Linked DNA regions of Pelodiscus sinensis. The protein of the gene in region 1 purifies or fractionates together with the protein of each later gene. This does not show direct contact. Links are inferred from orthologs where the notes say so. Each region holds a gene or a part of one and is shown on either strand. Other genes may lie near its edges. The genes, in order: SRPK2, ZNF638, YTHDC1 and PNN.

What was found.
Region 2: the proteins of SRPK2 (region 1) and ZNF638 purify together in Homo sapiens (affinity purification with mass spectrometry; 3 studies listed by BioGRID and IntAct, with this or other methods). This does not show direct contact. The link is inferred for Pelodiscus sinensis from reciprocal best matches to the Homo sapiens genes SRPK2 and ZNF638.
Region 3: the proteins of SRPK2 (region 1) and YTHDC1 purify together in Homo sapiens (affinity purification with mass spectrometry; 4 studies listed by BioGRID and IntAct, with this or other methods). This does not show direct contact. The link is inferred for Pelodiscus sinensis from reciprocal best matches to the Homo sapiens genes SRPK2 and YTHDC1.
Region 4: the proteins of SRPK2 (region 1) and PNN purify together in Homo sapiens (affinity purification with mass spectrometry; 3 studies listed by BioGRID and IntAct, with this or other methods). This does not show direct contact. The link is inferred for Pelodiscus sinensis from reciprocal best matches to the Homo sapiens genes SRPK2 and PNN.

Annotation. Positions count from the first base shown.
Region 1 is NC_134711.1:25,325,917-25,333,605, forward strand, and holds the start of SRPK2 (SRSF protein kinase 2), read right to left. Parts: upstream 3,001-7,689; 5' UTR 2,813-3,000; coding exon 2,523-2,812; intron 1-2,522. UniProt on the Homo sapiens protein: Serine/arginine-rich protein-specific kinase which specifically phosphorylates its substrates at serine residues located in regions rich in arginine/serine dipeptides, known as RS domains and is involved in the phosphorylation of SR splicing factors and the regulation of splicing.
Region 2 is NC_134715.1:133,322,451-133,329,711, reverse strand, and holds the start of ZNF638 (zinc finger protein 638), read left to right. Parts: upstream 1-4,246; 5' UTR 4,247-4,596; intron 4,597-7,261.
Region 3 is NC_134715.1:4,323,007-4,329,931, reverse strand, and holds the start of YTHDC1 (YTH domain-containing protein 1), read right to left. Parts: upstream 3,011-6,925; 5' UTR 2,855-3,010; coding exon 2,827-2,854; intron 1-2,826. UniProt on the Homo sapiens protein: Regulator of alternative splicing that specifically recognizes and binds N6-methyladenosine (m6A)-containing RNAs.
Region 4 is NC_134714.1:45,293,194-45,300,897, reverse strand, and holds the start of PNN (pinin), read left to right. Parts: upstream 1-4,685; 5' UTR 4,686-4,848; coding exon 4,849-4,961; intron 4,962-5,715; coding exon 5,716-5,787; intron 5,788-6,137; coding exon 6,138-6,203; intron 6,204-7,704. Other genes in the region: TRAPPC6B (trafficking protein particle complex subunit 6B), read right to left, coding at 902-969, 1,450-1,545. UniProt on the Homo sapiens protein: Transcriptional activator binding to the E-box 1 core sequence of the E-cadherin promoter gene; the core-binding sequence is 5'CAGGTG-3'. Capable of reversing CTBP1-mediated transcription repression.

The DNA.
Region 1 (7,689 bases):
CACAAATCCTAGCCTCTCTCCCTCTCTTCCCTTAAGGGTACAACTGACCAGCATCCTCTATTATTGCTCCTGGCCTGGAAAACATGAGACCAAATCAGAGACTATAATTTAGATCTTCCACCAGGGAACTCAAAGTACCAGAGAAGTCCCATATTCATAAATGAAAATGGAAACAAAACACAACGCAAGAATAAATGTGTGCCCAAACATTAAGTTTGGATATAAACATTCTTTATATACCATATATGCTGACTGTGCACAACAGTTAAGGATAATTTCATGTACGCTTTGAATGCTATTTCTTTTATGGTTTAATGTCATTATTTGACAATACAGATTTCTTTCACCAACAGCTTTTAATACTGTAATTTTTGAAGGTCATGGAAGGATCTGAAAGTTAATAGGATACTTAATATTGCTTCCTGCTATATAGTGAATGTATTTTTATATTTGAGGGAAAGAAGTAGTTATTTCACAGAGAGAATGAAAAATCATCTCTGACAGACTTTGTGAAAGTCTTTATTTGCTGATTTCTGACCCTATAAATTATGTAACTAATGTATGGCAACTCAAATCACTAAAATAGTATTCTCACAATGCACAAAAATCTCTATGAATATTGTAAAAAAGTTTATAGTGCATACACAATATCCAGTTTTTTATCTCTTGATCTTTTTAGATTTACCTTTTCCCTTCAAAATACTGAAAACCATGAGGCAACTTTATGGACTATGTACTTGCAATTTATTTTTTTAATCAAGGGCATTGTTAATGGTTCGTAAGCATAAAATGCATCTTTAAAATCCTTGCCTCCTTTTCTAATGATGTATAGCAATACTTTAGGAAGACAGGTCCATGTCCACTAGCCAACTGTTTCTTCCCAGAGATCGTATTGTATTTTATCACATTTTGTTCAACAATAGCTTCCGATTAGTCACTAGTTTTGCCATAGCATTTGAGCTGCTAAAATATAACTGGATTCACTACTTCATCAGGGTACCCTTCACAGAAGCCTTAAAAAAAAAAATCACAGTTAACACCTGTTTCCTGTACTACTTTCACCCCATCATCCTCCTCTCTCCTATCATTACCACCATTTATTTGGCCTAACATTTATAGTCTATGTAATTTTGAGATCCATGAGAATGGATAAACAAAACATCTTATACATCCTTAAGCCTTTTTCATGACTTTCAATTTATGTGTGCAAAAACAACCCAAAGCTTTTCTTACATTTCTCCATTTTGGAAAGGTGACTTAACAACCCACTCCCCCCACCATTTTCTGTATCTCTCTCATTGCTCTGATATTTTGTCATGCTATAGCTAGTGAAAAGCAATATCATGGTTTAGAATCATGTCTTCCCTCATTATACTTATAAATCCAATTAAACTGCTTGTATTGTTTTTAAAGCCATGCACTCCTCACAGCATTCTCTCATTTTAGCCTATCTTCTTTTAACTTGAATTTCCAGTGCACTGCCATTATTTTTATTATGTTCAAACATCATTCATCTATATTTTAGGTAATATCATTTCAGCTAAAAAAAGGCCTGTTTAGGTGTATTATATTACTAATTATAATTCTAGTAACTCATTTCCAAAGTATATAATATTCAGCTGTTCTGCTACACACATTAAATGATTAAATTCAAATAATGTTTTAATTTGAATTGATCTTGCGTTGTCCGCGGATTAAATAATTTTCTGAACACAAGTTTCTATTAAAATAAAATCTCAAGAAAAAGAGAAGTGAACAGGTTTGATTATTAAAAGCACCGAAATAGTCATTAAGAGAACTATTTGCATATAAAAAATCTGAATGTCAAAAATAAAAAATAAGGTTTTAAAATATCTATTTAAAATCAAACAACTATTTATAATAATTTGATTGACATATGAAATAATTGTTCTAAAAACACTTCTGAGTCATTTTGTCCTTACCTGCAGGCATGAACCATTATTACTGCATGCAGTGACTGTTCTATTTCCTAGCACAGACTTGAAGAAGCATCACATCTATTTTACAGAATGTGACTAATTTGTGTGTTTGCAATTCCTAAGCTATTTGGAAAGGACACTCCCTTTCAACATAACAGAATATTTAATGCTTAGCACACTGATACTTTCTACTAATCTAAATCTAACAGCAACCTTGGTAACAGTAAAATTATTTCCTCTAATACAAAACAAAAAATCTAATTTTTGAAACTGAATTTAGAAGTCAAGATGCTTTTGGGGTGAAAACAAAAAAATAGAACACAGCCTGCAACAACAATATACATAAACCAGTAGTCTGCTGTATTACGATTTGCATGCTGCTGTTTAGACTTCAGTAAAAACAAAAATAAATAACCCTTTGCAAAGACACAAACCTTAGCCAAAAACAGAGTCATTCAATACATTACAATAACCAGCATGCAATACATCAACAATATTAGCAAACAGATAAGAAAAAATGCCCTATGCTGCTGCTTTACAATGCCACACCATTAATTCTTCGAGCAAGAGATGTAGCTGTACCTTTCTGAAGAGGACGACTTCTCAGAGTTAACTGACATCAGCAGCTCAATCTTCTGCTTGATTTCTGGAAAAATCAAAAAATATTCACAACCAAGATTGCCTGCCCTTGTTTTCCAAAGTCTTATTATCAAATAATTTTTTTTCCTAATCCCTTTTGTTCCGAATGAAGCCACAAGATTACAGTACTTCTGTAAGGACTGATTCAACCGTGCTCTAAAGGGAAAAGCTCCAGAGGCATCAGGCCTTGCTAAACTATGCACATGACTGTTTATGAAAGCAGGAAGTACCATTTCTTTTAAGCAGAGGGGTGGTTCCTCTTTTGAGGTTGAGCTAACATATTTACTAGATGATTCTTATCATAACAATTTACAAACCACTGCACAAATTCCAGCTTCTAAGAAAAATCAAACAAATAGTTTGGGGAGTAAATTATTTGCAGCTTTGCTACCTAAATGTATTTACTACCCTTCAGAACCTTCATTTTAAAAAGCCCTGAAAAATATGGCTCTTTGAATTATTTTTGTCACAAAGAATGAAGTGTTAAATCACTACTTTAGTATATGGATCAGAAATCACAGACAGGCTATACAAATGTCTGAATTTCTTAAACTGATATTACCAGTACTCTTTCAAATATACTTTGAATGCCAACATTTAAATTTGCCTTCAATTTTTTATTCCTAATACCTTAATTGCCCCTTCTAATGCTCACAACCAATGATCAGCAAAACCCATTAACAGAGCAGGGCTGATACATAATACTTGTCCTAAGAGAAATGGCCTAACAATGACATCTAGAACAGAAATATTGAGAGCCAGATCAATTTTACTGCTAGACTACTGTTACAGGAGGAGAAGGGAGGAGAGAAAGAAATAGCCTCATACCAACTGCGACTTCTATATCATGAGATCTCAAAACCAAATACACATGGATGGTTTTAAAAAATAAATTAAGATTATCATGTAGCCAGAAGCTCTGTTACTTAAATGTTTCAGATGAAAACCAAAGGATACTAACATAATAAAGTTGACTGATTATAATTTTAAAATCATATTATAGCAGAGCTGGATGCACTAAATCTATTTAATGTTGTCTGACACTTCCCATTCTAAGACCCTATTTTCAATTGCTTACAACATTACTAAACTTTAAGTATTCAGGCTCAAATTTCCCATTCCGGAGATATGCCTCAGGGTGCTGCATTTATTTTTCAGCTGAAAAAAAGTTCAGCCATTAACTTTAAGGAAAAGTATGTTTTTCCCATGTTAAAAAGAAATCTTACAACCATCTCATTGAGAAGCTCTAGCATTTCCAGGCTTTTGGAGCAAGGTCTTGAAATGTAAGAGGCAGTAAGGTGGGGGTTGGAGTCACTCTGCTGATGGAGACGTGTCATTTTACTTTCCCCAAATTGCACAAATTTGGCGAATTTATAAACCTCCAAAAAGGTTTAGTTTACACATGCGCAACAGAAAACTATTAGAATTTGGTAGCTAAATTTTCCAGAGTCCATGTCTACATTGAGCACACTCATCGTGGGGTTTCAGGGATTGAGCACAATTTTCCCAACTACAGGTTGAACCTCCCAACTCCAGGATTCTTTGATCCGGCAACATCCATGGTCCAACAGGGCCTGGCTGAAGTGGACCTGGTGGAGGCAGGTAGCCAGAATCCCCAGCAGCAGAGGGGCAGGGCAGCTGGGTGGCCTGGCTGGGGAACCGCCTCCAAAAGCAGGGCCAGCAGTGACCAGGTGGCCCCAGCCGGAAACCTCAGGGAACACCCCGCATCAGCAGAGCTATCAGAAGCCAGGCAGACCCCGGGGTAGCAGGCAGGCAGCGTGGGAGGGGGAGGAAGTCGTGCATAACCAGTGTTCAGGGAGCCAGCAGCAGGGCATGGATTCCCAAGGACAGGAGCCCAGGAGTGGGGCAGCCAACAGGGGAGCAGGTCCTGAGGGTGACAGACCAGGGAGGTCCGACCTGTATTACCTTTCCCAGCTGCTAAGGTAGAGATGATAAGAAATGAAATGCACCCGCAATGTACCACTGATGTCTCCAGGCAGTAAGAAGGAGGAAACAACCTGAGCAAATGCAAAGTGGAAAGCAGCATAGGAGAAGGAGCTGCAGGCAACAGAGGGGAGAGAAGAATTGGGAGGAGCAACAGTCACATGCAGCAAAAGAAGGGGAAGAGCTGAGGCATAAAGTTGGATAGAAGTAATGAAGGGCAGTAGCAGGGTGAAGGGGGCAAAGAGCGGGAAGGAAAGCAGAACCTGCAATACACAGGACCAAAGAAGCACAAAAACTAGAACCTGTGTAGGAGATACAGAGAAGCACAGATGGAGGAGGGCAGAAGACAAGGTGTGAGAGGGTGGAGAGGAGCCAATAGGGACAGGGACAGGAGCTGGGGTAGGAGGGACAAAGTCAGCCTGAGGATAAGGAGGTAGAAAGCAGGGGCAGAAGGATCTAGTACTATTAGACTACCATTCCCTACAGAACCTGGAATTGAACCCAAAAGTCCTATGTCTCTACATCCTTCTGCTATCATCAAACAAAAGCAAAATCCACTGGCAAAGAATGTCTCTCAATCCCCTCTAGTGGCTGTTCCACATGGAGGACAACAGCTGACTACTTCTATCACTCTTAGCTCAAGTAGTAGAGATCGTGTTCGTCTAAGCTGTGTTGATGCACAGAGGCCTAATAAGCCTCTTTCTGGCTTAATAATAACCTTTCTGGGCTGGTGGCAGTGAGTATCCACAGTTTCCTTCCCACACACTTTCCACCCCCTCCTCCAAAAGTGCCCCATCCCTGCTCCTCCTGCATGCCACAGAATAACCTACCTGAGACAACACATACGATTCTAGTATACTTAGATGTAGCTGGTCAAAGCCATCAAAATCGCTCCACCTGGAATTTACTTTGGGCTTGTCTACATTTGATGTGCTGCAGCTGCATCGCTGTAGCACTCCAGTATAGACATTACTCATGCCAAAGAAAGGAGTTCTCCCATCAGTGTAAGGTGGCTTCCTAAGGCTATAGCTAGGTGGCTGGAAAAAATCTTCCATCTACCTAACACTATAACAGAATCTCAGAATTACAAACACCTCAGGAGTGCAAGTTTTTTGTAACTCTAAAATGTTCGTAACTCTGAACAAAACATTATAGTAGTTCTTTCAAAAGTTTACCACTGAACATTGACTCAATACAACTTTGAAACTTTACTATGCAGAAGAAAAATCCTGCTTTTGAACAATGTAGTTTAAATAAATCGAGCACAGAAAGAGTTTTTTCCCTGTCAAATATTTTTTTAACTCCCTCCCCCCTTTTTTTTAGTAGTTTATGCTTAACACAGTACTGTACTATACAGCATTTGCTTTTTGAGGGTGGGCAGAGGGTCATCACTGCAGCTGCCAATTGCATACATGTTGAACCTCTCCAAATCGGGAATCTGTCCAGCATCATCATACATGATCCGGTAGGACCACGGATGTTTCTGGACCAGGGAGCCCTGGCAGCTGGGAGTCCAGGGGCAAGGGGCCAGTGGCAGTGAGGGGTCTGGGCTGGTGGCAGTGAGGCCAGTACAGTAAAACTCCAATGGTCCGGCATCTGATGGTCCGGCACCATCAGGAACCCGGAAGTGCTCCGGGCAGCCGGACCATTGGAGCTGCTCTGCCCCCAGCTTCCCCGATTCAGCCGGTGCTAAAACTGATCAGCACTGAATCCGGGAAGCAGGGGACAGAACAGCTGGAGTGCTGCCGGGTAGGTCCAGTAGCGCTGCCCCTCGGGGCTGCGGGACCAACCCAGCAGCACCCCAGCTGTCCCGGATTCAGCCGCTGCTGAAATTGACCAGCGGCTGACTCCAGGAAGCCCGAGACAGAGCTGCTCTGCCCCAGCTTACTGGAATCAGCCGCTGGTCAGTTTCAGCAGCAGCTGACTTGGGGACACCTGGGGCAGAGCAACTGGGGTGCTGCTGGGTTGGTCCAGTAGCGCCGCTCCTCGGTGCTGTGGGACCAACCCAGCAGCCTTCCAGCTGCTCTGCCCCAGGCGTCCTGATTCAGCCGCTGCTGAAACTGACCAGGGCTGACTCCAGAAAGCCCGGGGCAGAGCAGCTCTGCCTCTGGCTTTCTGGAGTCAGCCGCTGATCAGTATCAGCAGCGGCTGACTTGGGGACACCTGGGGCAGAGCAGCTGGGGTGCTGCTGGGTTGGTCCAGTAGCGCCGAGAAGCAGCGCTGCGGGACCAAGCCGTCAGCACCACAGCTGCTCTGCCCCAGGCGACCCCAAGAGCAGCTGGGGTGCTGACGGGTTGGTCTCACTGCGCCAAGGGTCGGCGCTACCTGACCAACCCAGCAGCACCCCAGCTGCTCTGCTGCAGGCGCCCCAGATTCAGCCGCTGCTGAAACTGACCAGCAGCAGCTGAATCGGGGACTCCTGGGGCAGAGCCGGACTATCAGAAGGGAGGGCTATGAGGGGGTCTGAGGTAGCATCCGCCCACCCCACCCCAGACCCCTCATAGCCCCCCCTTCTGATAGTCCGGCATATCTGATAATCTGGCACCCCCTAGGTCCTAAAGGTGCCGGATTATCGGAAGTTTACTGTAGTTAGGAGCCCTGCCAAGCCAGTGGCAGGGAGCTGGCAGCTGTGAGGCCAGCCAGAACCCAGCAGCAGAGGGACTGGTGGCAAGGAGCCCTGCCGGGACAGGGAGCCCTGCTGAGCCAGTATCAGTGGGACTAGAAGTTGTGCCGGGGTCAGGGGCCAGGTAGGCAGGTTGCAAGGGGGCAATCATTGACCTCCCCTAGTCTGGCAAACTTCCTCGTTCGGGACCAGTCAAGTCCTTAGGGTTCCCATCCAAGAAGATCCAACCTGTACTTGTGGTTCCCAATTAGGTGTTTGGCTAACCAGTCAGTTTGTAAGTCTGGTATAGTAGCTCTGAGATTCTACTGTATCTACACTGAGGGTTAGGTCAGCTTAACTACATCACTCAGGGCTGTGGATTTTTCACACTCTTGAATGACACAGCTGGGTCAACCTAACTTTTTAATGTAGAACAAGCCAGAAACTTGATACATCAAGGTAAACACTACTAGATATTACAAAGTAAAGATCAGTACCTGTTCTTCAGCACTACTTTAGAGTGGGATAGCTAACTCAAATCTTCTATCTTGTTGTACAAATACA
Region 2 (7,261 bases), on another chromosome or scaffold:
GTACCTGCCCAAGGTTTGTGGAAGGCTGGAGAGGGATGGCACGAGACAAATGGCTTGGTCACTGTCTTCGGTCCATTCCCTCCAGGGTCCCTAGGGTTGGCCGCTGTCGGCAGACAGGCTACTGGGCTAGATGGACCTTTGGTCTGACCCAGGACGGCCATTGTAAGCTCAGGGCTCAGGGTCGGGGGCCTCAGTGGACCCCCTTGATTTTCATGCACACCTGCTCCTGGGTGGCCAGGCTGGCAGCTCTCCTGCCCTAGCTGGCCACTTTCCAGTGCCTAGTGCGGAGATCGTGGACGAGGTCCTGTGGAATAAGAGATTCCTACTTCAAAGTAGGAATAAGAGATCCTCCGGAATAGGGCTTTATTCTGGAGGATCGGGCCAGTCTAGACGCTTTTTTCCGGCTTTTCCCCAAGCCGGAAAAAAGCGGCGGACATGTTTATTTAAATCCCGCGGGGGATATTTAAATCCCCCGCGGATTTCCCTATTCTGAAGTTGAAAATTAGCATGCCCCTTTCGGAAAAGGGGCCAGTGTAGACGTAGCCACAAGGTGAGTGAGGTCATCTCTTAATATTAGACCAACTTCTGCTGGTGAGAGTGACTAGCTTTCATAAGCACAAAAGTTCGCGTCTCCCACCAGCAAAAGGTGCTCCAATAAAAGATGTTACCTCATCCACCTTGTATCCTGGGACCAACATGGCATAGAGCTTAGCTAATGTCAGGGGGCGGGGGCACTGCTGGCCGGGACACTCCTGTTGGCATGCAGCTTGCCTACCCGAGGGGCCGCGGCTGCTATATACACCACCATAGCAGCAAAGCCTCTGTAGCGTCGACTAGCCACAAACGAAGGGTACCCAGTGGAAAAATGTTCTCTGTCACAAGAAAACGTCCACACGGCCTCTCCCAGGCTGTATTTCTTCTTCCGATTGTATGAAACATACAGGCTACGTCTACACTGGCATGATTTTCTGGAAATGCTTTTAACGGAAAAGTTTTCTGTTAAAAGCATTTTCGGAAAAGAGCATCTAGATTGGCAGGACGCTTTTCCGCAAAAGCACTTTTTGTGGAAAAGTGTCCGTGGCCAATCTAGACGCGCTTTTGCACAAAAAAGCTCCGATCGCCATTTTCGCGATCGGGGATTTTTTGCACAAAACAAATATCTGCTGTCTACATTGGCCCTTTTGCACAAAAGTTTTTCGGAAAAAGACTTTTGCCCGAACGGGAGCAGCATAGTATTTCCGCAAAAGCACTGACAATCGTACATGAGATCGTCAGTGCTTTTGCGGAAATTCAAGCGGCCAATGTAGACAGCTGGCAAGTTTTTCTGCAAAAGCAGATGACTTTGCCGAAAAACTTGCCAGTCTAGACACAGCCACATAGGCTACGTCTACACTGGCATGATTTTCCGAAAATGCTTTTAACGGAAAACTTTTCCGTTAAAAGCATTTTCGGAAAAGCACGTCTAGATTGGCAGGATGCTTTTCCGCAAAAGCACTTTTTGCGGAAAAGCATCTGTGGCCAATCTAGACGCGGTTTTCTGCAAAAAAAGCCCCGATTGCCATTTTCGCGATCGGGGCTTTTTTGCGGAAAACACTACCGTGCTGTTTACACTGGCCCTTTTGCGCAAAAGTCTTTTGGAAAAAGACTTTTGCCCGAACGGGAGCAGCATAGTATTTCCGGAAAAGCACTAACGATCTTACATGAGATCGTCCGTGCTTTTCCGGAAATTCAAGCGGCCAGTGTAGACAGCTGGCAAGTTTTTCTGCAAAAGCAGATGATTTTGCGGAAAAACTTGCCAGTCTAGACACAGCCATAGTGTTCTGCATTGCAAAGGCCCTGGTTGCATGTTAGCTTTCAAACAGGGCTGCAGTGTTGACAATCCATACAGCTTTACACGGTCTAGGATGGGGTGATCTGAAAATCTGCCCTCTTTTCATTATTTGTTAAGCTCCAGCAATATCCCAATGTCCAGTTGGCTTTGTTGTTTTAATTCCAGAGGCCAACTGCTCTGGGACAAGGGGTAGGACCTCTTCAGCTGAAATGCCCTGTCCTTGGAAACCTGCTGCTTTCTACCAGGGCCTGAGTTTGAGTCTGAGAGAACACTATAGAATTGATCTGTCTGGTTGTGCTTTGATTAACTCTCGGAGCTGGTTTTGCTGGTTTTCTGAACTGCATATAGAATTTTATTGTAAGATCCTATTTTGTATTTGTTTTGAAACAATGTAGCATGTCCAGGCTCAGCAGTCATGGGAACAGATTTGGAAACCTCAAGTGATGCATTAAAAAAGGATTCAGACGCTCCATTAGAAGCACACATTAAGGAGCTGGGATTCAGTGTTAGACACAGTCATTTATTATTTAAACATACACTGTTACCATAGTTGACATTGGTGTTTATTAAACTGAGACTATGTTTAGGTTAGTTACCGCTTGCAAATGTACAACATAAAAAGCCATTTAAAGGCAGCATCCTTTTGTCGTTTTAAACTCAAATGTTGAAACCCTGTCTGTGCCTCTTTGCTCTTCCAATGCATACTCCCCATACCTAGATATTTTCCATTATTGGCCTGTTTTTTAGGCACCTCTCACTATGCTGTGAATATAGGCACAGCCTAATCGGCGCATCTTCTTACCTTGTTTCCCAGTACAAATTAGGGATGTTAGATAGCAAGTGATTGAATAGTCATGTAACTGCACAGAATATTATTGGTTACATGACTATTCGATAGACCCCAGGGGCAGGGCCAGCAGACAGTACATGCTCTCAGCCCCACTCCCAGGGAGCCCACTGCTACCCCGTGCCTCTGTATTAAAAACTGGCTCCCCGTGCAGACTGGCTCCTGCCTGCCACCCTGCGCTGCTGTCTCTGAGAAAGAGGCAGCAGCCTCTGTCCACAGGGTACCTGAGCTCCCCATGGGCAGGGGCTGCTCTGGCATCCCGCAGATCCCCGATAGAGAGGCAGCAGCCCACGGGGTGGCAGAGATGAAGCAGCTCATGTGATCCAATACGCACGGGGAGCTGGCTTCAAAGCCAGCTTCCTGCAAGTATCAGCTTCTGCCTGCCCCCCTCTCTGGTACAGAGGCAGTAAGGGTGTGTGCGCATGTAGTCTAAATGATTAACCCATAAGCCCAGGCTTATTGCTTAATTGTGTACTCAACTACATGTTGACATCCCTAGTACCAATGGAACCCAGTCCTCCTCGGTCTGTGAACATTTCCACTGACTTCAGGGGAAGTATTCACATTAATCCATTAAGCAGGATTTGACCTAAATGTTTTTGTACCTAACCCTGCTCTCCACCTCTCCTTCTCACAAAGGTGTTTTGATTGCAGCTATCATTACAATAGTAGGGCATTGTCAAGGGGAGCCAGAAACATTCCCAGGTACAAGATAGGAATGTAAAATCCCATTTAATCAGTTAACTGGTTAAACGTTCTGGCTATGTCTACACTGGCGGGTCCTTGCGCAAGAATGGCAGTTCTTCCACAGAGCGTCCACACTGCCCGCCCACTCTTGCACAAGATTTACAGTGCAGCATGGGAAGAGAGGGCTTCTTACGCAGGAGCTACGCTCTTTTCAAACAAGTATACGCCCTCTTGCACAAGAGGGCAGTGTAGACACGTGGCAAGGGTTTCTTGTGCATGAAAGCCCTATGGCTAAAATGGCCATCAGAGATTTCTTGTGCAAGAGAGCACCCACACTGCCATGGATGCTCTTGTGCAAAAGCACATGGCCATGTGGACGTGTTCTTGCACAAGAACCCTTGCACGAGATCCCGCCACTGTAGACATAGCCTATGCTTCACCAGGGGCGGATGAGCGAAGCTGCTCTGGGAAGGATAGCGCACCCCTGCCTCTGGTGCACAAGCTGGGCCCCCAAGCCAGGAGGAAGGCCAGGCTCTCACCTGACAGGGGGCGGCTGGAGGAAGGAGCAAGCAGCTGGGCTAGGTGGACAGGCACAGAGCAAGGAAGGGCCTGTCCCAGGAGAGGCAGCACAAGGCAGAGTACACCAGGGAGCCTCTGGGTGGGACCACAGGGATAAGGGGCCGGACCAGGCAGCTAACCCTGAGCAGGAACCCCACCCTAAGCCACCTGCGTGCCACCTGCCAACTCCTTATATAAGGGGCAGGTCCTCCCAGCATGCCCTGGGGCGCGCCTGCGCAGTAAGCGTCACGGTTGGCGCCCGGACCCCCGCTCTTAGCGCGCACGCGCGGGCAGAGGGCGGTGAGCGTGCCCCAGCGCCCCACCCGTTGTTGTTATTCAGAGGGGGCGCTCTTGGGAAGCTGCTGCGCCTGCGCTAGTCTTCGTTCCACGCCCAGGACAGGCTTCGGGTCAACTCGACGCGCAAGCGCATTTGGTAGCCCAGAGCGCAGACGGTCAGCGGATCTGTTCTGCGGCTGCGTGGCGATCACCCCCTGGCGGGCCGCCGGGGAGTTACTCCCGCCGCGTCCCTCGGGTCGGCCCGTTGAGCGCATGCGCGGCGCCATTGCCTGCCCGACTGAGGCGCCAGAGCGGGGCTGCGCTGATCCAAGCGGGCGGCCGAGCGCCACAGCGTCGCGGAGGCGGGAGCGGCCCGGCTCCGCCGCTTCCCCGGCAGGTAAGGCGCCCGCCCGGGGCGGGGGCTGCCCGGCGTCGGCGGGGCCCGCCGAGCTGCTCTGTGGCGCAGAAGGCGCCGCGGCTGCCGAGCCCAAAATGGCGGCGCGGGGCGATGGGGGAAGGGGCGGGGCCGGGGGCGGGGCCTGCGCGCCCGTCTCGCGGCCGGGCGAGCTCGGGGGGGGGGGGCTGACGGCTCCACCCCCTTGTTGCTGAGGCGGGCGCGCGCGGGGCAGGCCGGGAGCGCGCTCCTGCTGCGGCGGCGGTGACCGCCGGCCTCTCCCACGTGCGCGCGCTTCGCCTCCCGCTCGGGCCCTGCTGGGAAACAGCGACACACGCAGCCCCGCCCCTCGCCCGCGCGCCGGGCCGGGGAGGAGAGAGGCCCCGCCCACCTCCCCGAGCGCGTGCGGTGCCAGGCCTGAGGTTTCCCACCCTTAGACTAGCGCTGCAAAATCCCGGTTGTGAGTCTGCTGGGGGCGGGGGCGGGGGGGGGGAAGGGACGTACCAAAAAAAATCAAGTCAGAAATGTTTAACGTGCGCGTATTTAAAGCCAGCTTTGGCATGGATAAGCCGTGTTCCATCTTCAATTGCTGTGAACTCACTGCACTGATTTAAACACAGGAAAAGAGTAGGGAAGAGCAGGGCTCGGCTGCTCAGGTTGTTGGTGACCTAAACCAGTGTTAGCAACATTGGTCTCTTCTGTAGACACACAGGGATATTTTCTTCTTTCCAGTTAATTCAATCTGTTGGGTGACTAAGTCAGTGAAAGTTAAGTACAGGTTGGATCTCCCTGGTCCAGCACCCTCCCCTGCTGGCTGCCCTGCTCTCAGGCTCCTCTCCCTGGTGCTCCCTGCCCTTCTCCACTGCTGGTCCCTCCCCACCTTGCTGCCTGCCCACTGCCCCAGGGTCTTCTGGGATTCCCGGCAGGGACTACTTTGCTGCTGCTGGTCCCATTGCAGCAGAGTGTTCTCCAGGGTTCCTGTCTGGAGTCACCCCGTGCTGCCACTCTGCTGCTTCTGGGGGTTCCCCAACCTGGGGCTGCCCGGCCACCCTGCTTGCTGCTAGGGCTGACCCCGCTGCTGCTAGGGATTCCAGCTGCCTGCCTCTATCAGCCTTGCTGTCACTGTGGGTTTCTTGGGGTTCCTGGCTGCAGGCAGCCCAGTTAGAGTTCCTGGGCTGCTGCCTGGTCCCGCTAATGCTGGGGTTTCCCTGGCCAGGGCTGGGACTCCCCAGATGCTGGCTGACCCAGCTGGGACTCCCCAGCCCCTATGTTGCTCCAGGACTTTTTGGTCCAGTAACATCCCTGACGGACCACTTATGTTGCTGGACCAGAGAGTCCCACATTTTCCTCTTCCAATCTAAGAACAAAAAATGAGAGAAGCACTTGTTCTATATATCTTAAGGGACATGGTGATCATAAATAAGCAATCCGTTCAGCACACTAACAATTAATTTGGATAATGAACCCATCTTGAATGCAAAAATGTTTTAATCAATTTGTTTTGTACCCTGCACATAGATACTCAATGGCTATGTCCAGGGCTTGACAAATCCCGGCGAGAGCTACTCGCCAGCCCTGCACCGCGCATGCGCCAAACTGGCACTGCGCATGCGCGAAGTGCCGGTGAATGGGGCGCACGGAGCGACCGGCTGAAATCTACTCGCCGTGGGCAAGTAGATTCAGTGGTTTGTCGAGCCCTGGCTATGTCTACACTGGTGGGTTATTGCAAAAGAACTGCCGTTCTTCTGCAGAGCACCCACACTGCCCACCCGCTCTTGCGTAAGAAGATTTACAGTAAAGCGTGGTAGGACAGGGCTTCTTGCACAAGAGCTATGCTCTTTTCTAACAGGTGGAAGCTCTCTTGCGCAAGTGGGCAGTGTGGATGCGCGGCAGGGTTTTCTTGCTCAAGAGAGCATCTGCACTGCCATGGATGCTCTTGCGCAAAAGCACCTCTCACTGGGGGGTGGTCTTTTAGATGTGGGCGGGCTAATGCCCGCCCACCTCCTGGATGCCAAATAGAAAAGCACCTCTCACACATGGCAGTGTGGACGTGTTCTTGCACAAGAACCTTTGCACAAGACGTTCTTGCGCAAGAAGCTGCCAGTGTAGACATAGCCAATCTGTTTATTCATATTTCCTTATTTAAAAAATGTGTCTGCGAGAGCTAACTAGGAACAGTCTTGTATTGGTTGAAGGGTTGGAGGCAGAATTTGTTTCCTTGGCATTGGTTTTCAGATGATGAGAGGTGCGGAGGAATGATCGGGGAGCGCATGACAGGGCCTAGGCCAACCTCACTGGGGGCAGGGAGAGAGCGCCACCCGGCCCTCTCCTCTGCTCCTGGCCTTAGCTCCTAGCCCTCTCTGCTATTCCTGGCTCCCAAGGTGGTGCAGGAAGATTCCATCATTGAGGAGGGAAAGGGTGCATCAGAAAAAGTTTATGGACTACTGTTTTAGGGGGATAGTGAATGGATAAAACACTGCTGGCTTCCTCTTTTTCCTGTTAGTTTCCATCTTGATGGCAGCCTACAGTCACTTAACTTAGTTTTGTGTTCAGTATTTCTTTCAAAGGGCTGTCATCTCTTAAAAGACTGTGAAGTTCAGAGCTCTTGTGCAAATGAAAAGGTCAAGATTACTGAAGTTTTTGTGGCCATCTCAGGTTTATGGGGAAT
Region 3 (6,925 bases), on another chromosome or scaffold:
TTGATAAAGCAAGGAAGCTATATCTCTACTTGTTTCATTTAAATTACGATGGTTCAAAGCAGCATTTTTCTTCTACACAGTGATGTTTCAAAGCTGTATTAAGTTAATGTTCAGCTGTAAACTTTTGAAAGAAGCGGCCAGAATGTTTTGTTCAGTTATGACTATCTCAGAGTTATGAACTAATGAGGCTAATTGAGTGGGCTGGAAGTGTCCCATACTTGCTTTTGATGTAAATGAGGTGTTAGATATATAGAAGGCTGATTTTATAATGGGCCATCCATTTAATGTCTTTGTTCACGCCCAGGGAAACAGTGTCAAAATTGCATATGAAGGTCAACTAACTAACTAACTAAGAATGGCTACTTTTAAATCTAAGATTGAGTGCCCAGGTGGATTAAAATATTCCCCTACAGGTTTGTGTGTGTTACTATTTTGGATATCTAACTTGTGTCCATGTATCCTGTGTCAGAGACTGTCCAGTTTAGCCAATATATATGGCAGGGAGGCATTTCTGGCACTTGATGGCATATATCAGGAAGTGCAGTTGTATGAGCTTCTGATGTGGTTAGATCCCGTGGTGGTATCACTTATATACACGTGTAGTTGGAGTTGGCACCAGGTTTTATCGCAGGGGTAGGTTCCTGGGTGAGTGTGTCTGAGGCTTCCATCATTTCCTTGTTATTTAATCCATTCCCTTCCCTTTCAGTAATTCCAGTTTAACTTGATGGTGCTGAACACCACCTTAAGAGCTACAAAATCTAAAAACATAAAAAAGTCACCTTTAAGCAGTTACAAGGAAGAGCCTCACAGCATGTATGGCTATGCCAACCATATGCCCCAGAGGTTTCCAGGACAGTCCGGATTTTAAATACTCTGTCCTGTTGTCCCCATAAAGCACTGAAATGTCCCCAAAAGCATCAACAGGAGCCCTAGAAGAGGGCTCCCCACACCTCCAAAGCCTTAGTGTGATGGCACAATCCAAAGTATATACAAGCCAAAGAAGTGGTACAAAGCTTAAAGTGGTGGCTATTCCCACCTCAGGGGCAGTAACATATTACATGTGTCTAACAGAGACAATTATTTATACAGCCGACCACAGGGTTTCACAGATGGATCTACACCCACAGCATTCTTCCCTAGAATATAGCTGACACTTTAAAAAAAAAAAAAAATCACAGAAAATTTTTATAATCAATTTCACTTATACTGGTAAAACCGAAATAAGAATTACCCCCAATCGTAACGCCCCTCATTGGCCCCCCCAGCCACAGCTTCCGCCCCCCCAGCCTACCCCCCAACACCTGTCCCGCCCCCGGCCTACCCCCCCCCCAGATCTCCCTCCCGACCTACCCCCCCACTCTTCCCCCCTGCAGCTCTTCCCCCCGGGCCGACCCCCCCCACCGCCTGTCCCCCCCGGCCTACCCCCTCACTCTTCCCCCCCGCAGCTCTTCCCTCCCGTCCCCCCCGCCTGTCCCCCCCCGCAGCTCTTCCCTCCCCCCCGCCTGTCCCCCCCCCGCAGCTCTTCCCTCCCCCCCGCCTGTCCCCCCCCGCAGCTCTTCCCTCCCCCCCGCCTGTCCCCCCCCGCAGCTCTTCCCTCCCCCCCGCCTGTCCCCCCCCCGCAGCTCTTCCCTCCCCCCGCCTGTCCCCCCCCCGCAGCTCTTCCCTCCCCCCGCCTGTCCCCCCCCCGCAGCTCTTCCCTCCCGTCCCCCCCGCCTGTCCCCCCCCGCAGCTCTTCCCTCCCCCCCGCCTGTCCCCCCCCGCAGCTCTTCCCTCCCCCCCGCCTGTCCCCCCCCGCAGCTCTTCCCTCCCCCCCCGCCTGCCCCCCCGCAGCTCTTCCCTCCCCCCCCGCCTGCCCCCCCGCAGCTCTTCCCTCCCCCCGCCTGTCCCCCCCCCGCAGCTCTTCCCTCCCCCCGCCTGTCCCCCCCCGCAGCTCTTCCCTCCCCCCCGCCTGTCCCCCCCCCGCAGCTCTTCCCTCCCCCCCGCCTGTCCCCCCCCCGCAGCTCTTCCCTCCCCCCGCCTGTCCCCCCCCGCAGCTCTTCCCTCCCCCCCCGCCTGTCCCCCCCCGCAGCTCTTCCCTCCCCCCGCCTGTCCCCCCCCCGCAGCTCTTCCCTCCCCCCCGCCTGTCCCCCCCCCCGCAGCTCTTCCCTCCCCCCCGCCTGTCCCCCCCCCGCAGCTCTTCCCTCCCCCCCGCCTGTCCCCCCCCGCAGCTCTTCCCTCCCCCCCGCCTGTCCCCCCCCGCAGCTCTTCCCTCCCCCCGCCTGTCCCCCCCCCGCAGCTCTTCCCTCCCCCCGCCTGTCCCCCCCCCGCAGCTCTTCCCTCCCCCCCGCCTGTCCCCCCCCCGCAGCTCTTCCCTCCCCCCCGCCTGTCCCCCCCCCGCAGCTCTTCCCTCCCCCCCGCCTGTCCCCCCCCGCAGCTCTTCCCTCCCCCCCGCCTGTCCCCCCCCCGCAGCTCTTCCCTCCCCCCCGCCTGTCCCCCCCCCGCAGCTCTTCCCTCCCCCCCGCCTGTCCCCCCCCGCAGCTCTTCCCTCCCCCCCGCCTGTCCCCCCCCCGCAGCTCTTCCCTCCCCCCCGCCTGTCCCCCCCCCGCAGCTCTTCCCTCCCCCCCGCCTGTCCCCCCCCGCAGCTCTTCCCTCCCCCCCGCCTGTCCCCCCCCCGCAGCTCTTCCCTCCCCCCCGCCTGTCCCCCCCCGCAGCTCTTCCCTCCCCCCCGCCTGTCCCCCCCCGCAGCTCTTCCCTCCCCCCGCCTGTCCCCCCCCGCAGCTCTTCCCTCCCCCCGCCTGTCCCCCCCCCGCAGCTCTTCCCTCCCCCCGCCTGTCCCCCCCCCGCTACCTTTCTCCTCCCGGCTGTCCGCCGCCATCCGGCCGCCTCCCGTGTCGGGCCGGCGCTGAGCTCGCGGCGGGGGCGGGGCGGGGGGGCTCGCGGGCCGGAGCCGGCTGCAGAACGCCTGGCACGTCGGCCCCTAAGATGGAGGCTGCTTCCTGCGCGAGACAATCCCCCTCCCACAAGGCACCGCTTTGTTTACGCTTCTGGCGTCACAATGCAGGCTGCGCGTGACCGCATCGCGTAGCGTCTGCCCGGAAGGGCTCCTGGTGGATCGCGGGGGGGGGGGGGCGGGAAAGGCCTGGCCACGTGACTGCGCAGGGCGCCCTTGGCCGCCGCCATTATGCGCCTTGGCTGGGCTCGTCGGCTCGAGCTGAGCGCTACGCCCCGCCCCTTTCCTGAGGCCACGCCCCCGCTCCCGCCCGCTCCGCGGCTTCCAGCGCTGCCCCAGCCCCCCCGTTCCCTGTCACTGAGCTGGGGGGGGGGGGCTCTGGGAGGGGTGGGGTGCGGGCTCGTGCGGGGGCTGTGGGGTGCGGGGGCAGGGGCTGTGGGGTGCGGGCTCTGGGTGGGGTGCGGGGGCTGTGGGGTGCGGGCTCTGGGTGGGGTGCGGGGGCAGGGGCTGTGGGGTGCGGGGGCTGTGGGGTGCGGGGGCAGGGGCTGTGGGGTGCGGGCTCTGGGAGGGGGTGGGGTGCAGGGGCTGTGGGGTGCGGGCTCTGGGTGGGGTGCGGGGGCAGGGGCTGTGGGGTGCGGGCTCTGGGAGGGGGTGGGGTGCAGGGGCTGTGGGGTGCGGGCTCTGGGTGGGGTGCGGGGGCAGGGGCTGTGGGGTGTGGGCTCTGGGAGGGGGTGGGGTGCAGGGGCTGTGGGGTGCGGGCTCTGGGAGGGGTGCGGGGGCAGGGGCTGTGGGGTGCAGGGGCAGGGGCTGTGGGGTGTGGGCTCTGGGTGGGGTGCGGGGGCAGGGGCTGTGGGGTGCGGGCTCTGGGTGGGGTGCGGGGGCAGGGGCTGTGGGGTGCGGGCTCTGGGTGGGGTGCGGGGGCAGGGGCTGTGGGGTGTGGGCTCTGGGTGGGGTGCGGGGGCAGGGGCTGTGGGGTGTGGGCTCTGGGTGGGGTGCGGGTGCAGGGGCTGTGGGGTGTGGGCTCTGGGAGGGGGTGGGGTGCAGGGGCTGTGGGGTGTGGGCTCTGGGTGGGGTGCGGGGGCAGGGGCTGTGGGGTGCGGGCTCTGGGTGGGGTGCGGGGGCAGGGGCTGTGGGGTGCGGGCTCTGGGTGGGGTGCGGGGGCAGGGGCTGTGGGGTGCGGGCTCTGGGTGGGGTGCGGGGGCAGGGGCTGTGGGGTGCGGGCTCTGGGAGGGGTGGGGTGCGGGGGCAGGGGCTGTGGGGTGCGGGCTCTGGGAGGGGTGGGGTGCGGGGGCAGGGGCTGTGGGGTGTGGGCTCTGGGTGGGGTGCGGGGGCAGGGGCTGTGGGGTGTGGGCTCTGGGTGGGGTGCGGGGGAAGGGGCTGTGGGGTGTGGGCTCTGGGAGGGGGTGGGGTGCAGGGGCTGTGGGGTGTGGGCTCTGGGTGGGGTGCGGGGGAAGGGGCTGTGGGGTGTGGGCTCTGGGAGGGGGTGGGGTGCAGGGGCTGTGGGGTGTGGGCTCTGGGTGGGGTGCGGGGGCAGGGGCTGTGGGGTGTGGGCTCTGGGAGGGGGTGGGGTGCAGGGGCTGTGGGGTGTGGGCTCTGGGTGGGGTGCGGGCTCGTGCGGGGGCTGTGGCGTGTGGGCTCTGGGAGGGGGTGGGGTGCGGGCTCGTGCGGGGGCTGTGGCGTGTGGGCTCTGGGAGGGGGTGGGGTGCGGGGGAAGGGGCTGTGGCGTGTGGGCTCTGGGAGGGGTGGGGTGCGTGCTCGGGCGGGGGTTGTGGGGTGCGGGCTCTGGGAGGGGGGATTGGTTAACTGCTCTGGTACCCCCTGTGGTTAACCTCTGGAGACTGGAGCAGCTCCTCACCCACCAAGGGCAGGGGGATGCTTCAACCCTGCCATGGACGGGGCACTCTAGCCCAGAGAATGCAGCCTCTGTCGGGGGCCTGGGTGCACCACAGGCAGGGGCTGCTTCAGCCTGTGTATGATAATTCGGTTTTTTACTATAGTTGTAGCCCTATTAGCCTGGTACTGAATTTAAGCTTACAAATCTGTAATTGCCAGGATTGCTTTTGGAGCCTTTTTAAAATTACCATGGCAGTAGCTATCGTCAGTCACCTGTCAAAGAAACTGATTTCAATGAAAAGTTACATACCCCAGATAGGAGCTCTGCAATTTCGTATTTGTATTTTGCCTTCAAAATGGCATCTGGTCCTGCTGACTCGTATTGCTGTTTCACATATCAGTTTCTCCCAAAACTTTTTCTACACATACCTCAAGCTGGAATGGTTCCTCAGATGTGTCATCATAAAAGGATTGGCTCAGGTGTGGGAATCCCCCTCTCATCCTCGTCAGCGAAGGTGGATGGAAGGAATTTATTTATCTTCTCCGTTATGGCCTTGTCTTCCTTGAATGTTCCTTTAGCACCTTGATCGTCTAGTGGCCCCACTGATCGCTTGACAGGTGCTCTGCTTTTGATGCACTTTAAAAATGTTTGCTACTAGTTTTTGAGCCTTTTGCTATGTTGTTATACAGTTGTCAGACTGTGAAACTTTGGAATACCCACTCCAGTACCGTGTCAGCTTGATCTTCGTCTGACCCCCGTTCTTAGCACTGTTCAGTTTTACAGGTGGACCAATGGTTATTACACGACAGATAAGATGTGAGGATGCTAAGTGCGAGTACATGACTAACTGGATACTCAATACAATTTGCATCGAGTACACAGTTAATCGGGTCCCTGATGGCTGCTTTGACTAAAATGAGCTGGGTAGCATTTAAAAGGCAAAGCTGCAATGCTGCTGTGCCTCTCCCTTCCCTGCCCAGCATCAGCTTCTGTTTCTCCCCCTCCCGCATCTTGCTGGCTCTGATATAGAGGCCGCAAGGGGCGGGGATGTGAATAGTCCCTAATAAGATGAGCCAGATTTTCAGCCTAGTATTGATTGGGCTTTTGTTTTTGTTCCCAGAATTTGCAGACACAACAATTTGTGGTGGCAAGTTATTTGTTGCTGCAATGTAGGTCTTGTGAACATAGAAACCTGATTTGTGAGTGTAGATGTTTATACATTTAGATCCAAACAGTGCCTGTAATTATTTATGCTTGCAATTCACAGGTACAAAAGCAGAGGACAGTGTTTGACCAACCAGACCAATGTTTACAGATGACATCTAATAAGATTAACAAACAAACAAACAGGGACCAAAGTTAGGCTCTTAACTCCATTGTTAAGCACATCAGTAAATAGCCTGTCTTTTAAAAGTTGTCAGCTCCCTAAGCTCTGTTTACTTCTTTGGGAGATGCTGGGGGCTCAACTAAGAATGTAAGTGACTAGTCGACTATCTGATAAGCATAAGCTTATCGAATAGTCGAGTAGTGATTTGACTAGTTGCTTCACCCGTGTTGCCTATATTAGAGAGAGGCAGCAAGCTGGGGGAGCTGTATGTGGTTCTGGGGGGAGCTGGCTTAAAAGCCGGCTGTCCCCAGCGCCATCTCTGTGGGGAGGAGGCAGGGTGTCCGCTTGTGCTGGTTCCCACTGTGGCTGCTTCAGCCTTTGAAATGTACAAGAGCCCTATGGGCGTGGGGGTGCAGAGTGGACTCATATACATTTCAAAGGCTGAAGCAGCCTCATGGGAACATGGAGCCAGCGGGAACTGCTTGAGTCCCCACTGGCCCTCTGCTCTCTGTGGTGCCCTCCCCTTGCTGCCTCTGAGCCAGTTCCCCACAGCACCATCTCTGGGGTGCTGGCTGCTCCTCTCTGCTGTGTCTATCCCCCCACAGACAGGGTCTGCTGCCACCAAGAAGCCCCTGTTCACAGCACCCGGGGCTGGCAGTGTGGGTAGCTCCCAGAACCAACATGAGCCAGGACTGCTCAGCCCCAGCTCAAGTAGGCTCCTGGAACAACCCCTATTGACTAATCAGTTAGTCGATATTAGTTGTTTCGACTATATGATTAGTCTGATAACTGGATTTTAACAGCCTTAAGCTCAACATTTTTGGACATCGAGTTG
Region 4 (7,704 bases), on another chromosome or scaffold:
GCTGCTCCAGCCAGGCTGGAGTAGCCCTCACTTGTGGTGGGCCCTCCCAGGGCTGTTAACCATTAATATCCCTACCAGGACTATATATTAAAATGATTGTCTGAAAACATGTTGCTCACATGTGGCACACTATTGGATGCTATTTTGAAAACAAAACACCTATCAAATATGGCAAAAGAACTTTTCCCTAGATACAAATACATATGTTTTCATTTGCCACACCTTTCTAAAAAGAGTGAGCTAGAGGTGATTTATTATTACTTTTAATAAATGTTTTTCCATCTCTATGTAGTTTACATCCAACTACCCTCTCACTGGCATTATTCATTCATACAGATACATATAGACACACACTATATCTATCTATAGACACATACACACATTTAGACACTTGCATCCACAAAACTCTATAGTGTAGACAAGGCCTAAATGGACCAAATCATGAGGACAAGGACATTAGAAGAACTATGTAATATCTTTACCACAGAAGATGCAGGGGAGATAGCTATCTTTAAGTAATAAATACAAACCATAAGAGAATGGAGGTGTCAGAAGAGAAGCTGCTAGATTCAGAACAAATGACAATTAAAGAACTATAAATCACATGTACAAGGTTGCATTCATCCAAGAATTATGGGTGATTTTAAGATGAAATGATTAGATTGCTAACAAAAGTATTCAATAACCCATTAAAGTCAGCTTCTCTACCAAAGATCTGAAGCAGATATTGTCTCTTAAAAAAGCATTAGATTTGTAAACCTTATTTCAATTCAAAACATTTATGGAAGGCTCCAGTTTACATGGTATATTATTTTAGGGGAAAAGAGTTTGAGGGAGGAGAAAGCAAAGTGAGATGCAGGGGTTATAAGGTATCACTTTTTTAAAATCACACCATTCTTACCTTTCTATTAATCCTTGTCCTACTCTAAACCCCATATTTTCCAATTTAGTGATGCATCGTCCATTTTCCTAGAAGATACAAAAGGTTTTTTTTACATATTTTGTTAACCTCAGACTTACGGTAAAGGCGTACAAGGAAAATAAGAGTTCATTCATTCCTTATGGCCTCTAGCTATAGACTATGCTATTTCAGTTGTGGCTCCTCCCTTTGCAAACACAGGTTACTAGAGCCGTCCAGCCGGCTCTCCTGAAAGAATTTACAGAAAAAGCAAGTATTTTGAGTTCAGAAAATAAACCTGTTCATGTCTTTCTTTCTCTAGCTTCGGCCAGGACAGCGCCAGGCTGGGCTGTGTCCCACGGTGCTCCTGGCATAGAGGCCCTGGCGGGAGAGGTCTACTCCGAGCACAGGCATCGTGCCAAACAGGAGCGTAGGGACCAGCTGGATTAAGGAACCCCCGGCAGATCGCTCCCAGGTCAATGTGTGCGAGTGCCCGGGAGGGTGAACCCCGCCGCTCGTCGGTATCCCTCCCCCGGCAGTTTCCACCTCACCCCCTCGCCTTGCTCCGCGGCCCGGTACAGCCCAGACACCATCTCATTATGCAGCAGCAGGAACAGCGCTTCGTCCGCCATCTCCGGCCTGGCCATGCCGGCGGCTGGAGGGCCTCGCGCTGCCGCCCTTCTCCCCGGCTCCCTCCTTCCCAGACCGGGCCCCGGCCGCTCCGGGAAGCAGCGCGGCCTCACTACCAAGGCAACGGGCGGCTTCCGGGCAGGGGCGGGGCTCCGGCTGTCAGGCTCCTAAGGCTCCGCCCGCCGGGAAAAAAGGATACGGGGTGGGGGCTGCGCGCTACGCCTTGCGATGCGGGGGGCGGCGCAGAGCAAAGGAGCGGTAGGTGCCAAGTTAGGGTGAGGGGCTGCCGTAGTCCCAGGTAGAGGGAAAGGATGGTGGGTGTGAAACTTGCCAACCATGTTAGTAGCAGCTATTTTAAAATACTCTGAGATCTGCCTGAAATACAGTAAAATCCCTTTTCTCCACAGAGCCTAGATATATCGTTGCCCTATACGCCCACGCCCAGCCACTGGTCTCATTCATCTATTTTAAACTTGCACAGCCAGTAGCATTACTGGCTCTGGAAGCTGTTATAATCATTCTACCAATACTGTTTGGTCAATGGTATTTTGCCTGTTTTTAAACTAGTGCCAGAGTGCACTTTGTGGCTCACAATTATTATAAAGGAGACAAACTGCAGTTTACAGGAGAAAGTCTTGGCAGTTCTAGGGTATGTAGGGTAGGGAGGCAGATGTGAGTTTATAACTGGCATGCTCTAGGGTTGCCAGATGGTCTCCCAAAAAAATACCACCCACACCACACATACATCCTGTGTGGCTACTACCAATAGCCACCAAGCTGGGAACAAAGGGGGAGGCAGCACAGCCTGCTCTGCAAAGAAGCCGCCTGCTACCCAAAGCAGAGAGAGGCAGACCCTGGGGCAACACAGTGGGAGGAGGGCAAACATGGGTAGGAAGGTGACTCCTCCATAGCCAAGTCTTTGGATGTCCCAGTGGGAAGAAGCAGAAATTCCACCCCAATCAGTTTGGCTGAGAGCCCATGGAAGGCACCTAAAGGCAACTACAAAGCACCTGCAGGATTCTTTCCTGGACTACAGCACCACAACGCGCTTCAACAGCGCTCAAGAGCAGGGACTGGGCTTCTCCTCCTCCCAGCACCAATCACAGCCCTGCCTCCCAGCCTGGGACTCCCTCTGGGGCTACATCTACACTGGCGTGATCTTGCGCAAAAACTCTTTAGCGCAAGAGTTCTTCTGCAAAAACTCTTCCAGAAGAGAGCATCTACACTGGCATGTGCTTTTGCGCAAGAGCATCCATGCCAGTGTAGACGCTCTCTTGCGCAAGAAAGCTCTGATGGCCATTTTAACCATAGGGCTTTCTTGCACAAGAAATTCATGTTGCCTGTCTACACTGGCCTCTTGCACAAGAACAGTTGCACAAAAGGGCTTATTCGTGAGCAGGAGCATCAGAGTTATGGCACAAGAAGCCCTGATTTCATACATTACGACGTCAGTTTACTTGCATAAGAACACACGGCCAGTGTAGACAGGCCACTTTTACACAAGATCGCACCAGTATAGACACAGCCTGGTTGTGTGTGCAGAAGCCTGGCAGGGGGAGTGGTTGGGACCCACAGCCCTCCCCCCCTCCCACCTGGCTTCTGCACACACCCACAGGCTCCAAGCTGGGAGGCAGGCAATGGGAGCCTGTGGTTGCATGCAGCCACTCCCCCCCATCCCTGCCAAGCTTTTGCATGGTACCACAGGCTCCCAGCACCGATTGCGGTCCCACCTCCCTGTTACTTCCCCCACCCCAACCAGGCTTCCGTCCGGCACCCAGCCAGGAAAACAGAAACTAACAGCTATTGCACGTCTGATATTTTCTGAATTTTTTTTACTGGACAGCGGGCACAAAAACCAGACTGGTAGAATACCAGACACCTGGCAACCCTAGTAGCTCTATCTCTGTAGAGAAAACTGAATAAACTAAGGAAAAGTAAAGCAACAATGTTAGAGATCAAAGTTTCTACTGCCTTTCTTCACATTTATCTTGTGTCCTCTTCACTCTATTTTAGAGTCACAGACTTTAGTCAGGCCATCAATATCCCCCAGCACCAGGATAATGAACCCCTTTCATTCATGTCTCCCTGCTTCTTGACTTTAGCTGGGTAATTAGCTTATTTCGTTTACCTAAACTAAACCAAAATAATATTGAGTCACTACTGAGCAACGAGACATGTATTTTTTTACTTCATGCCAACTCTGTGAGCTGCTCATCATGACCCAATGCTGGATGTAGTAAAATAGAGCGAAATTAGCGAATACGAGGAACAGTCACCTCCATTCCATAGGAATTTTAAAGCCAGAACAGAGAGACTTGGCTACTCGGCTCATTGCGAGCGATAAAAACCTGGGCAGCGAGCTGGACTTCAGCTTGGAGCTCTCCGCACGATCGGCAGAACTAGAAGAGACACAGAATTGCCCCGAGGACCTGGCCCTACAATCATGCGGAGGACGAAGGGTCGCGGCAGCGCGGGCGCACCCCGGAGCGGGGCAGGCTGCGGGCGGCAGGGCACTAAGCTCGGTTCTTTCCCACTGCAGCGAAGGGGAATGCGCAGCAGGGGAGACACCGCGCTGCAATGGGAAAGGCAGAATAACAGCGCCAAGCAGGCAGCTCATCTTGCCCCGCAAAACGAGCAGCCAGGGCGGCTTCCCCTCAGGAGAGGCGATCCCGGGCCGGCTACATGAGTAGAAGGGGGAAAAAAAGAAGACACCAGCACGTGAGCTGATTGGCTAAACGCCAGGCCTTGCGCGGAATCGCTCTTTTCTTGTTCCCAAACAACATGCTTTTGCATTGGTTGAGTTGTAAGAAAGTAAGAGCTGATTGGCTACTCCCCGCTTCTGTTAGTTATGCCTCATGGCCTCTGAAGGGCCTCGGCGTGGGGTGGGGCGGGAAAGTTGAGAGAGTTCGGAGTGGGTGGAGATGGACAGTATTACTCTGCTTCTGATTGGTTGATAGGAAGAAAGGAAACGGTGCTGGTTGGCTGGGATCTATGTCATTTTGTTTGTCCCTTCGGTGATTCGCAGATATGGCAAGCAGGGAAGACTGGTGATGGGGCTGGCGATTTGTCACTCCGACATGGGCTCTCTAATTGGCAGATGCGTCGCACGCGGCTAGGCTGTAGGCGTCGTCGCTTCTGGTCGAGACATGGTGATTGGCGCACCTGGACGGTCGGCGATTTCCTATTGGTGTCACTCTGGTTCCGAGCATTGTGACTGGCGGGTTGTAGGGCGGATCGAGTAGTTTGTGGGCGGGGCATCTCGCTCCGTTACCCAGCGGTGCTTTGCGCTAGGCCCTTGGCTAGGCCGCGCTGCTGGCGGGATGGCGGTGGCTGTGCGCGCGCTGCAGGAGCAGCTGGAAAAGGCCAAGGAGAGCCTCAAGCACGTGGATGAGAATATCCGCAAGCTCACGGGCCGGGACCCCAACGATGTGAGGTGAGGCGAGGCGAGGCCGGGGCTGGGGCTGGGCGCGCGCCCTGCGGACGAGGGCGGGCCGGACCGGACGAGCCTTGCGGGTTCCTTTTCTCTCGGAGCGGAGGAGCAGCGCGTCACTGACTCTGGAAGCAAACGTGCTTCTGAGGGTCCGAGTCCTGTCGACTGGGTGCGGCCTGCGGGGTTTGGGGCGCCGCGGCCCGGCGCTCCTTCTTTTCTGCTCGGGCCCCTAGTTCCGGCGGAGGAGCGCGGGAGACTTCTTTTGCCCGCCCCGCGGCCGGCTGCTCGCCACCGCTTTCCGTGCTGTTCCACTGAGGTTGCTGGGCTGGGCGCTGATCGGAGGCAGCCGCCGCGGCGTGGTTTGCCCGCACAGTCAGTTGGTAACGTGTCTGAGAGGGACACACAGAGTCTCCCTTCTGTTGCCTGTCAGGCGTGATCCAGCCGGGAGGGAGGGGGAACTGAGTTGGGGAGGTCATTGGGTTGCCAACAGTCCCTTATTTTTCTCATCTGCGTACACCAAGATTGGGAATTTAAATATAGTGCTAGAAAACATATCTAGCAATCCCTTCTCTGTGCACTTGCCAAGGGTATGTGCTGCTTTTCCCCAGCAAGGTTTTTACAAGCAAAGTTTATTCTCTTGACATGTGAGGTTTTCCCTCTGTTAGTCAATGTCTGGTATGTGAGACCATGCAGGTCTCCAGAGAGAGCATATTTGCTTACTCTGCCCGCATTCTAACACTTAGTACATTTCTTCCAGGCCCGCTCAAGGTAGATTATTGACCATCACAGGCCCTGGTGGAGGTAGAGGGCGTGGTAGCATATTGCTGAGGTAAGAAACTGTTTATTTTGTGGTTCTCAGCCATCGCCAAATTATTAAATGTTACTTTTCCATCAGGTTTTGTAGGGTCAGTATTACAGGGTTATTGTGTACTTCATGCCACTAATATAGGCAATGGAGAATGCTATATAACTTGACTGTTACTAAAATATAATTATTATGATGATTGTTTTCAGTGAGGTAGGGAAGCATTACCCACATAGACAGGAAGTTTAACTTACCCAGGATCACATTTGAGTCAACGGCAGACCAGCATTGGAAACTCTGCAGTTCCAGTGTCCAGGTCTCTCTGACAGCTACTTATTTGTTTTACTTCATGTATTAAGTCTTCTGTTTTTTAGGCGTGGATTCTCGGATAGCGGAGGACCCCCAGCCAAACAGAGGGATCTTGAAGGGGCAACCAGTAGGTAAGTATAAAGGTGAACAAAAACTTTACTCGAGTGAAAGGTCATCATGTTTTAACACATTTAAATTGTCAGAACTGGTAACTGTTAGTCTGGTGGCTTTATAACTACTTTCTTAAAGATTACTAATTCCAAAGCTAAAGCTTTTGTCACTGTTTTTGGATGATCCCTCCTGCATCAGTAAGGATATAGCTCCCTATCCATGTTTTAACATGTTCATATCAGTTCTGATAAAATCTTGTCTCTGTCTCCTCCTCGCTATAAAATGTAATAATTCTGAAGAAATGCAATCAGATGTAGAATTTGAGTGGTAACTTACCGTTCAATAGTTCTGAAGTAATATCTGAGTATAAATCATTCCCTTCGCTCAATGAGGAGTTGATGCCGAAATCTAAAACACCTGATTGTTAATATCAACTGCTGATTATTGGGGGGTGTCAATGGATAGCTGGATTGCCTATAGTTTAAATGGCTATTAGGAATGTCAATGTGTAGATGACTACACGATTAACCAATAAGCCTGCACACATTGTCCCCCCTTGCTGCCTCTGTATCAGAGGCAGTGGGCTGGGGAACGGGAACCAATGACCTGCACTTCTGTGCTGTTGCCTCTGATAGAGAGCCAACGGTGTGGAGGGGTTGGGGTCAGGCAGGAGTCAATATGGGTGAGGAGTCAGCTCTGTGGACCCGTCTGCTTATCTTTCCTGATGCATCTTACAGAGCCAGTGAGTGGAGGCAGAGGCAGGAGCTAGTCTTCAAAAGCCAGCTCCCCCTGAGCACTGGCTCTGTGGACCCTCCTGGCTGCCCCGCTTGCTGCCTCTGTCAGAGGCAGAGCAGCAGGAGAACCTGCTGCTGCTGCAGCAGCAGCCACCCCTTTCTGCAGTGAGCCCAGGCTCCTTGTGCACAGGGTTCCCCTTGCAGACTAGCTCTTACCTGCCACCCCATGCTGTTACCTCTGATAGGGGCTGGTACAGCCAGGTAGGTAGCCCAGCTCAGTCCTGGCTCACCTGTGTCTACGATACCCACTGTAGCTCTTCAGTTTAAATGTAGTAGGGGCTGGACTACCTGCATGCCCAGCTCCTACGAAATTTAACTGCAGAGCCACAGCGGGAGTAGCTCCTGGACCCGACATGAGCTGGGACTCAGCACCTTCCCTTATCAACTAATCATGAAGTCGATAAAAATTGTCTACTACACGATTAGCCAATTACTTGCCTCTTAACAGCCTTCCAGTGAACCATTTGGCCACTGGAACTACACCAGTAGTGCAGCTCAAAAGTGTGAATGTGTAGAGTACATATCTAAACTCCAGTTGCATGGGAGCATTCTCTATTTTTTTTCTTTGTAGATCACCTTTAATAACATAAAGAGTGCCGCTATGATTTTATTTATCTCAGTTCAGTAGACTTTCTTGTGCCAAAATTGTGTTACTGTCAAATTCACCATGAGTGAGTAATGAGAAGCTTACTGCTGAGTTCATGGTTCTCAGTAGGGACTTTCTCCT